2 linked regions of the Saccharomyces cerevisiae S288C genome follow. The protein of the gene in region 2 purifies or fractionates together with the protein of the main gene of each other region. This does not show direct contact. Each region holds a gene or a part of one and is shown on either strand. Other genes may lie near its edges. The genes, in order: MLC1 and MYO4.

The links.
Region 1: the proteins of MYO4 (region 2) and MLC1 purify together in Saccharomyces cerevisiae (affinity purification with mass spectrometry; 4 studies listed by BioGRID). This does not show direct contact.

Annotation. Positions count from the first base shown.
Region 1 is NC_001139.9:304,640-307,509, reverse strand, and holds MLC1 (Mlc1p), read right to left. Parts: upstream 951-2,870; coding exon 501-950; downstream 1-500. Other genes in the region: ARC1 (Arc1p), read right to left, coding at 1-73; RMD9 (Rmd9p), read left to right, coding at 1,237-2,870. UniProt on the Saccharomyces cerevisiae protein: Essential light chain for the class II conventional myosin MYO1. Also acts as light chain for the class V unconventional myosin MYO2 and for IQG1.
Region 2 is NC_001133.9:87,176-94,156, forward strand, and holds MYO4 (myosin 4), read right to left. Parts: upstream 5,096-6,981; coding exon 680-5,095; downstream 1-679. Other genes in the region: SNAP receptor SNC1, read left to right, coding at 111-212, 326-577; FRT2 (Frt2p), read left to right, coding at 5,725-6,981. UniProt on the Saccharomyces cerevisiae protein: Part of the mRNA localization machinery that restricts accumulation of certain proteins to the bud and in the daughter cell. Recruited to specific mRNAs including the ASH1 mRNA, coding for a repressor of the HO endonuclease, via its interaction with SHE3.

The sequences.
Region 1 (2,870 bases), on a different chromosome or scaffold from region 2:
ATTGTTCTTTAGTGAAAGAAACTGGATACTTTGAAATAATAAGCGATTCGAACTTGGTAACGAGATCGGACATTGACTCTTGAAACTCTATATTATACTTTCTTATTCAATTGGGCCCTGAAGTAAAATACGTCGCACGCTGTGTTAGGTTATCCATATGACTGAAAAATTTTCTTATCTCTTGCAAAATCGCCAAGCGGTTAGAATCCCTCAGAAACTGAAGAAAAACGCTTAATCGTTAATAATGACTATCACATACCATTATCATTTATTTGTTCATATATATGTTCATATATATGTACATATATATATATATATATATATATATATGACTATTTATTGCTATGCATTATAAAGAAAGACTTGGCTCTCTGAATTACCAGTATGAAAAATGAAAAACCGCTGGCAAGTTTTCATTGCATAATGGCGCTTTTTTCGTTTTTATGTCGATAGGACTCTGTTATATAGTAATAAATGTCTAAATTTGCAGTTCCGCACTCTCATTGTCTCAAAACATCTTCGATGAACTTCTTGTAGTCAATTTCTCCGTTGCTGTCCACTTCAACACCCTTCAACAGCTCGTCTACTTCAGCGTCGGTTAACTTTTCACCCAAGCCAGTTAGCATGTACCTTAAGTCACCAACGGATACCTTGCCTGTACTTTCCTTGTCGAAGACCTGGAATGCCTTGACGAAGTCTTCTGTCTTTGCCTTGGTAGTTGCATCCAATTCCTTTTCGTTGACTTCAATTAGGCCTGTAATCTGGTCCAGCGTCAAGCTAGAGGCGTCTCTCAAGCTCGAATCCGCGTTTATGATGTCCTGTACGAGCTGGTTGGTGGGGTTGTAGCCAATTGCCCTCAGGTAATCTCCCAAGGAATCCTTGGCAATGGCGCCTTGACCCTTCTTGTCGAATAGTGTGAAAATATCTTTATTGGCTCTGGTGGCTGACATTGTTATTCTATGTATGTGCGATGGGTGGTGGCGGAATACGCTGGGGAAGGAACTCTTATACGTCGATCTACTCTGAGTATTATTTTGTTTCAAATCTTACTTCAAAATGCTTTTGTTACTACTCGTGTGTAATGATATATGGTTGAGGTTCCTGACTGAACAAGATTCGAAAAAATGTATTCAGTATGGCATTGTAATGAGGGTCTAAGCAATAAGTAAAAGAAGGTGAGGTTTCAGTGTCATTTTCTTACACTATTCGGAGAGTCCATATACTGCAAAAGGGACAATGATGCTTAGAAGAAATGCGGTGAGATCGTTAAAAACTATGGAAATAAGCGTAAGCAACGTTGTTAACTCCGGTTCGATAGCAATGCTGAGAGGTAAGCTTGCCAACGTAGTTCTTAGCGACCGTACTTACCACTCCAGTCCGATATTTCATAAAAATGTACCTAAGGGCGTTTTGGACAAGAAGAATGGGCGAGAACAGCGCAAAACAGAACAGAATGTGTTTAATGTGGATCCAGCTTCTCCATGGCGCCACGAGCTTCTTTCGTTTGATGAGTGTGTATCATCTGCTTTAAAGTACTCTACCACGCCTTTGCAAAATACATACAAAAGAATAGGAAACAACCAATTGAATAAAAATCCATCATTCGCCATGTTTTGGGACTCCATGGGCAGAGCAATGGAGTTATACTATTCTTTGAGAGAATCGCCTGATTTCAATGCGTACCGGGTGTCACGTTTGATTCATCTGCTGCATAACGGTCTGAGGTCGACGAGAGACCAATTGGTAAAATTAAGTAGAAAGCCAGACTACGATTCGCAATCTTTTCACAAGGAAATGATGAACTTTCTATGTAATTCATTAAAGGATATATCTGATGACATTTTGATAGGCAAGGTGTCTGTCAGCGGATATGGAGCTACTCATCTATTGACTTCATTTAAAGAGCTGTCATTTGACGATGACTGTATTCGAATTTGGGAAGCGTCAAAGAATTTGTCCGACGAGACTACTTCACAGGCATTCCAAGAACCAAAAGTGGTTGGTTTTATGCTGCCATTACTTTATGCAAAAACGCGTTCTCTGACTGAGCCTAACGAGCTATATAACCAAATTATTCAATCCAAAGAATTTATCCATCCCAATCTTTACAGCGGACTGATAAAAGTCTTCATCAAGGCGGAAGACTACGAAAAGGCATTATCCCTCTTCGGCCAATTATGTGAAAAGGCTGAAGTGAGGAATTACGGTTATTTAATTGAAACGCACTTAAGCTTCATTGGTGATTCCAAGAATTTAACGTTGGCAGAAAGTTTCTTTGACAAAATTATCAACGATGAAATGCCATACAAGATTATTTTACAAGTCTCTACAGTGAACTCTTTTTTGCAGAATATATGGAAAGCACAGAACGATTTTGATCATGTTTATAGAATATGGGAAAAGGCTGTAAAATTTTATGGTAACACTGTTAATCCTGGAATTTTGTCCTCACTAAACAACACTTTTTTCACAATATTCTTCGAAAACTATATTAATGACAATATCAATGGTTTCCGTAAGCTTCAAGAAATCATAACGTTTTACAGTGGGGTCAAAAAAATTGATGAACCATTTTTTAACGTTATGTTAACTAGAGCATCTATCTGGCACGAACGCAGCATAATCGATTTTATCGATAAAAACTATACTTTGTACCATATTCCAAGAACTATTATATCATATAGAATACTACTGAAATCATTGGGAAGCATAGACAACACGAATAATGAAGAGATTCTGGATAGATGGCTGGAGTTGGTCAAGAAACTGAATGAATTGGGCCAACAATATATAGCCAATGCTGATCTGTCCGCTTTGAGGGATGCCACTGTCGTATGGTCACAATCAAAGAGGGATGAAAAGGTCTTTTC
Region 2 (6,981 bases):
CATTTTTAAGGGTCTTTCCCACAGCATCTATAAGAAAGATCGTCAAAAGTATTAGTTAAACATTGAAAATTTGCGCCAAAGACATAGCAAGCGCAACGTATTCATTGTCCATGTCGTCATCTACTCCCTTTGACCCTTATGCTCTATCCGAGCACGATGAAGAACGACCCCAGAATGTACAGTCTAAGTCAAGGACTGCGGAACTACAAGCTGTAAGTACAGAAAGCCACAGAGTACCATCTAGGAAATTAACATTATACTAACTTTCTACATCGTTGATACTTATGCGTATACATTCATATACGTTCTTCGTGTTTATTTTTAGGAAATTGATGATACCGTGGGAATAATGAGAGATAACATAAATAAAGTAGCAGAAAGAGGTGAAAGATTAACGTCCATTGAAGATAAAGCCGATAACCTAGCGGTCTCAGCCCAAGGCTTTAAGAGGGGTGCCAATAGGGTCAGAAAAGCCATGTGGTACAAGGATCTAAAAATGAAGATGTGTCTGGCTTTAGTAATCATCATATTGCTTGTTGTAATCATCGTCCCCATTGCTGTTCACTTTAGTCGATAGAAGTTCACTCGCAATGCTATATATATAGGGAGCTTCCATATGTAGTGTAGGATATATGTATATATACATATATACATATATGGGCGTATATTTACTTTGTTCTTATTTTCTGTCTAATTTTATAATTTTACTGACAGTAGCTAAGCCCTCTGTATTGCTGTTCTGTGTTATTGCACTAGTGTCATAACGCAGATGGTTTTTAGCAGAGTCAAATTGGGCAGAAAGCATAATTTCCATCTTCCCTGGCAAAGACAGATTTTCTCTTTTGATCACGTTAGCTAAATAATTCAAGATTTCGTTCGGTACTCCAGCTTCGCCCTTGTTAGCAGGCTTGTATTTCAACAGAATTGCTTGTATTTGGGCTGGATTCAAGGCATACCAGAAATCGAATAGTAACTTGAACTCGTTCAAGTTGCTTATCTTCAACTGTAATATCTTGACAGCCTGAATTATTTGAATCAAATTGGGACGAACGTCTTCAATTCTTGGTTCAAACCAGCTCACCAACCGCTCGATATTTCTATCCACTTCGTACCCATACTTCCAATTTAACGCGGGACATTTGGTTATTAGGTCATTAAATAGCATTACGTTCAGATACTTCAGGGTGTCGTTAAAAATTTTTGTATGCATTGAGTCAACAACTTGAAATTTACACAAGACAGCATCAAATTCATTTAAGAATGTGAATAATTTAGCGAACTTCTCATCACCAGAATTTTTAAATAGCTTCTCGTTTAAAACCATATCGAAGATCTCGATGTGGGCTGAAGCATGCTTCATGAATTTCACTAACCAAGTGGAATAAATCTTGTCGAATACTTTTAAAGTTTCATTCTCCAAATCATTCAAATATATCAGTGTTAACTTATCTTTTTCATCACCACCATTCGCTTCATATAATGTTTTTTGATTTGCAGCAAATGCGGGAAGTCTGGAAAGATTACTTAACCAAAAGATACCACCAAGCATTGTTTCGTCCTTTGGTAGACTCATAACAATGCTTTCTACAGTCAATAGGACTTTCGAGATGAATTTGCTACTTTGAATCAATAACCCATTTCTCACTAAGCTACTTACCACTGTAGTAATGACGTGTATAGGACCCAGAACATTGTCTCCATTCACCTCAGTAACATTTACTTTTTTCAAGTAACCTTCTGTGACTTCTAATGTGTAACAATTCAGGTCCATTAGTAATTCTAGAAGATCAGGATTTCCTGATTCTCTACGAATTACATTGACTAGCTTCGGTTTTACTTGTTGTCCTGCGATTCCCAAACCTTTCACTTTATCATTCTTATTAGCAGAATATGTGGTGGTGAAATCTTGTGCTATTACGTTTTCAATAAACGCTAGTTCTTGCTTCATTGATTTGACTTCATCACTTAATCTTGAAGGTTTGTTACCTTTTATAGCAGCCAAACTTTGCATATGTGACTGTATTAAAGAAGATTGCTTCTTTTTTCTCTCCTTCAAGGCATTCTTCTTGTTTAAAGTATTCATGATTTCAACTTGTAACGTCTTCAGCTTGGAAATCTTATCATTATAACCATTTACTATCGTTTCGTACTCTTGCCTTTGCTTAGATGGAATATTTGACAAATCTCCCTGCAACAACTGTGTTAATCTTGTATATGAGTCATTTAACATCTCTAGATTCAAAATGAAAGAGTTCTTAAATTCGATAGCTTCCTCCAGTAATCCAATCCCGTAACTAGCCCTAATATTCCGTTCTTCAACTTCTTTTTGCAGAACTATATACCTTCGTCTAGCTAACTGCATTCTCATGGCGCTTTGTACAAGAATGGAGCTCCTTTTCAATGTTCTGTAATCTGTTTTGTGACCATATGATCTGATGTAGCTTTGGATAATTACTGCCGCCATGAGCATGAATTTCCTGTTAACACTATCTAAAATCAATTTTCTTTTACAGGTACATTGTAGTTTTATTATTTGCCCAATGGCAGCTCTATAGTATTCCCGTTTCCATAATGCTCTAATGTTCGTTTGTAGTAATATGGCAGCTCTTGTCTTGAGCTCATGATCGACCCTTGTACGAACCAACAAACTTCTAATTTGGCTTTGGCACTTCTTTATTGATTCCATGGTCTGCAAATACTGAAGCCTATAGTATCTTGCCCTTATCTTTTTCTGTATTATGATGCATATTTCATTCATTTTATTAGTCCTTAGCTTTTCCAAAAATGCAAGCATTCCTGCTTTAAAGAAAATTTTGGTATTACCAATTTGGTATTTTGCTGAATCAGAGATAGTAGCATCTAGAATAGATTGACAGAAGTTGACGATTGCCTCTTTTGGGAGGTCTGGATTATAAAGAATTCCACTCCATAAGCTGTAGTCCGTCAGGAGGAAATATCTTTGAACGAATTCGTCAAAAGTCCATCTTGATGGAAAGCCTGCACATGAAATCCTGATTGTTTCCAGCACACCACAAGCTCTTAATTGCGATAAGACCATCAAATTATCGAACTCCCATGGCTTTTTTTCAGAATTTGGTTTTATGCAACGAATATAATGAACATTAGTAGAATTTATGATGGCCATCAATTCCCCGAGCGATTTTTTGAACATAGATCCCAGGGTTGGTTTCTTTTGACTTAATCTTGCTGGGATCATTATCTTTTTTTCAGTATTTTGCTCTTCAGGAGCATCGTCACTCCTAAGTTCTCTGTTGTCTAAAATTTGTTTGAAAATTGGATTTGTCGTTGCTTTGAAAACATCCAGATGACCTAGGGAAACGCTGTCTCTATTCTTTTCAATAAACCCTTCAACTTCATATTCTACATCAACAGCATAATGGCTTACTATAAACTTCGTTTGTCCGAATCTTGGCTTCGAAAAAACTTCATTTGAGGGCGGTTTATTAAAGGCAGAATATAGTTTTGAGGCCCATGATTCATCTGAGCCTGATGGTAATCTACTTTCTTCATCTAATAGAGAAAGTATTCCAAGTTTATTCTCAATCAAGTCTATGCAAGGTTGGTTGTCGCTGAACTCAATGAAAGACCACTCAATTTCCTCCTTTACATATTCTTCTTGCTCCAATTTGAAAACGTGCTGGTTGAACTCTTGTTGTAATTTTTCATTCGCATAGTTTATACAGAATTGTTCGAATGAGTTTTTCTCAAAATGCTCAAACCCGTAGATATCTAAAATACCAATAAAGGAAAAGACATGATCTTGTTGATCCAGCTCAGGATCGTATAATGTCTTGTTAATGTTGTCTACTAGCCAATCAAAAAGCGTGGAATAAATAAATTTCGCCACAGAGTCCCTAGCAATTAGCGCTTGATTGTAATTCAAATTAGTGACAATTTTTTCAGACCTTGTGACGATTTGTTTCTTGACAATCCATTTTGCAAAATTGAAGGGATCAATACCCAATAATTCACATGCGATTTGCAGGTTTTGCTCTTCCGATGATAGTGATGCGTCGTTTCTAGTCATTTTCATCTCGATATTACCTATATGTAGCAAGCCTGCAAGAATTTTGAAAATTCCAAGCTGAGTCTCGTGGTTTATACCTACTAATGACAGGGCATCAGTGGTTATCTTGTATTCTCGAGCTTCATCTATACCAGCTATGTTCGGCTGTCCACCTTGGTTAGTATAATGGTAGTCCTTGGGAGATGACAAATGCAGTTCTTGTTTTACCGGTTCTGGCAATCCTTCCAAAATTTGGTAAAAAATATGGTAATTTCTTTCTGTCTCTGGCTGATAAACTAACCTGGATTTTTCCAAGAGATAGGTTCTAATTTTGGACCCCCTGATGGTAGTATTCTCATCAAATAAAATTTGCAGATATTTGCCGAAACGAGAGGAATTATCATTTCTGGTAGTTTTGGCGTTACCAAAGGCTTCCATGATCGGGTTAGTAGCTAAAATTTGGCTCTCGATTTGAGACATTTCCACTTCCCCTTCACGATTGTTGCTTTCTTGGACTGAGGCAAAGTATCTCATAATGTATTTAGCAGAGACGGTCTTACCAGCACCGGATTCACCACTGACTACAACAGTCTGGTTAGCCTTTTCATGGACCATGAACCTGTACGCCTCCTCTGCTATGGCAAAAAGGTGCGGCTCCAGCTCATCTTTACGCTTACTAGAATAATTCTGTATCATCTCGCGAGAGTACAAATGGTCGACTTTATCAAAGGGATTAGCGGCAATAAGGACAATACCAGAGTAAGTATATATCTGTCCATTCATGTATCTTTTTTTTATGGCATGCAGCACTGCCGGTTCGTTCAGATATGATAGGGTGGTTAAGTCATCAGTAGACTCTAAAATAGGTGGGTTTCGTAGTACAGGTAGCGTGGGATGATCATCATCATTTTCGAAGCTATTTGTTTCAATGGATACAGTTTCTCCATCCTCCAATTTCAACTCTAAGTGGAACGTTCCTTCAAAGAAGTCATTCTTGGTGACTTCGCCGCCTATCCAGCCTTGTTCTTTGTGAGGGTACCAACACTTAGTTCCTACTTCAAATGACATGCGGGAGAACTGGTTATAGGATTTTTTTTGTTTTTTTGTGTTTTAGAATTAGATTGAATTATAAAAAGAAGAACAAAAGGGTATCGTATTGAAAATAAATTGTCTCGCCAAACTGGTAACAATGTTTTCAGCTAGAACAATAAGAAAAGAAGAGAAGGTAAAAAAAAAGGTGATAACTCCGTAGGAATTGAGGAATTGAGTATGCAGAATCAGAATAAAGGCTGACTTTCAAAAAAAGGTTGTATTACAATTGCAGGTTTTCGATAAAAGAGACCCTATTCTCATCTACTACTGCTAAACTTCGAGATATTTTCGAATTTTTCAGTCTTTTCTTTTTTTTTTTTCGCATTAGTTCAGAACCCTAAAGAATGGTAAACATTCTATGGATAACCCGGAGAGTGAGTTTCTTAAAGACCTAGTTTTATTTTAAGGGTTTTAACTCAATCTTGATGTTTTCATTGTGTACCCTAAAGAAAGTTTAAGAATAGCCCTAACTGTTACCTTTTGAAATAAAATAAGGGGAAGGTCAAAAAGCTATTGTTCTATTGTTATGAAACATTGTCTCAAAGAGTAAGAATAACACAAATTGATGGCAGTTTTTTACGTAGTCCAGTAGTTGTCCAGGTACAATGCAAAATGCTCAAATAAAGAGCTCTTCTAAAGGCAGCGGAATAGATGGTACAGATCGCAATAGCAAAGATGGTGTAGAAAAGAGACCCCTGGAAGATGTAAAGCAAATGATTGACGCTGGAACACCAGATGTTGGCCACAAATCTACTGTTGAAACTAAGCCAAACGTTGGATGGCAAGCCTCTCACAGTAATTTGGCTGCATTACACGAAAAAGAGCAGAAATATGAAATGGAGCACCATCATGCTCGTCATAAACTGCATCGTCAAGTTATTCCGGATTACACGTCTGCCTCGACCGCAATGTTCAGCGATTGTATGTTCAACGCAGCACCAGATAAAGTACGAAGTCTCAGTACGATGAAGTCTTCTGGACTCTCGCCAAAACACCCATTTAACGTAGTCGCCACCTTTAAAGGACCATTCCCGCAGCATAGTGTAGAATCAAAGCCTCTCGATGGTGGATACTCTGCCAAAGACCATTTTCCCTCATTTAAGATGTTGCAAGCCCAGCAGCACCCAGCCCATCGCCATTACAAAGACAACGACAAGTACGGTCTTAAATCACCTTCCCGGTCCTTCGTGAAGGACAAGAAAAGGTTGGTTCACCGGTTTTTGAAATCCATGGAGCCTTCTTCGTCTGGGCAATCTAAGGATTCGTCTGCACTGGCGCCGGCTTTCGATCCAATATTGCCCAATGTTATATCTAAGCCTTCCAAGCGACCCACACATCATTCGCATTCATCAGACGGGAGTTCTAGCACGCAGACAGATATATCGTTACAGAGCTTGCTTTACCATGATCTTGAAAGCTCACCAAAGAAACATGTTTCGCCCTCAAGACCGCCCTCTGTAGCTTCCGAATCCTCTCCTGCCGTTGCTAATCCCATTGGGCTTTCGCCAAAAGACGCCTGCAATGCATCGTTTTCGCAGTCGTCCTCATCTTCGTTGTCTTCTTCTTCATCGTCTTCATCATCGACGTCATTCTCACAGTCAGTGGCTGTTGATCCTCTTGAACCTCCTGGAAATATCACATATAGTAGTTCGAATCTTTCGCTAAATTCAGATGAATTAGACTACTATCAGCGTCATATCGGATTGCAGTTACAGCAGACAGAAGCTTTACTAAAGCACAGTTTGAAAGATGAGGTTCTGAAAGATGAAAATGACCTTGTTAAAAACATTGCAAATTTTGACAAGATCGTTAAAGAGCTAAGGGACTTAAGATCCAGGACCATTGGATGGAAAGAGCTTGTT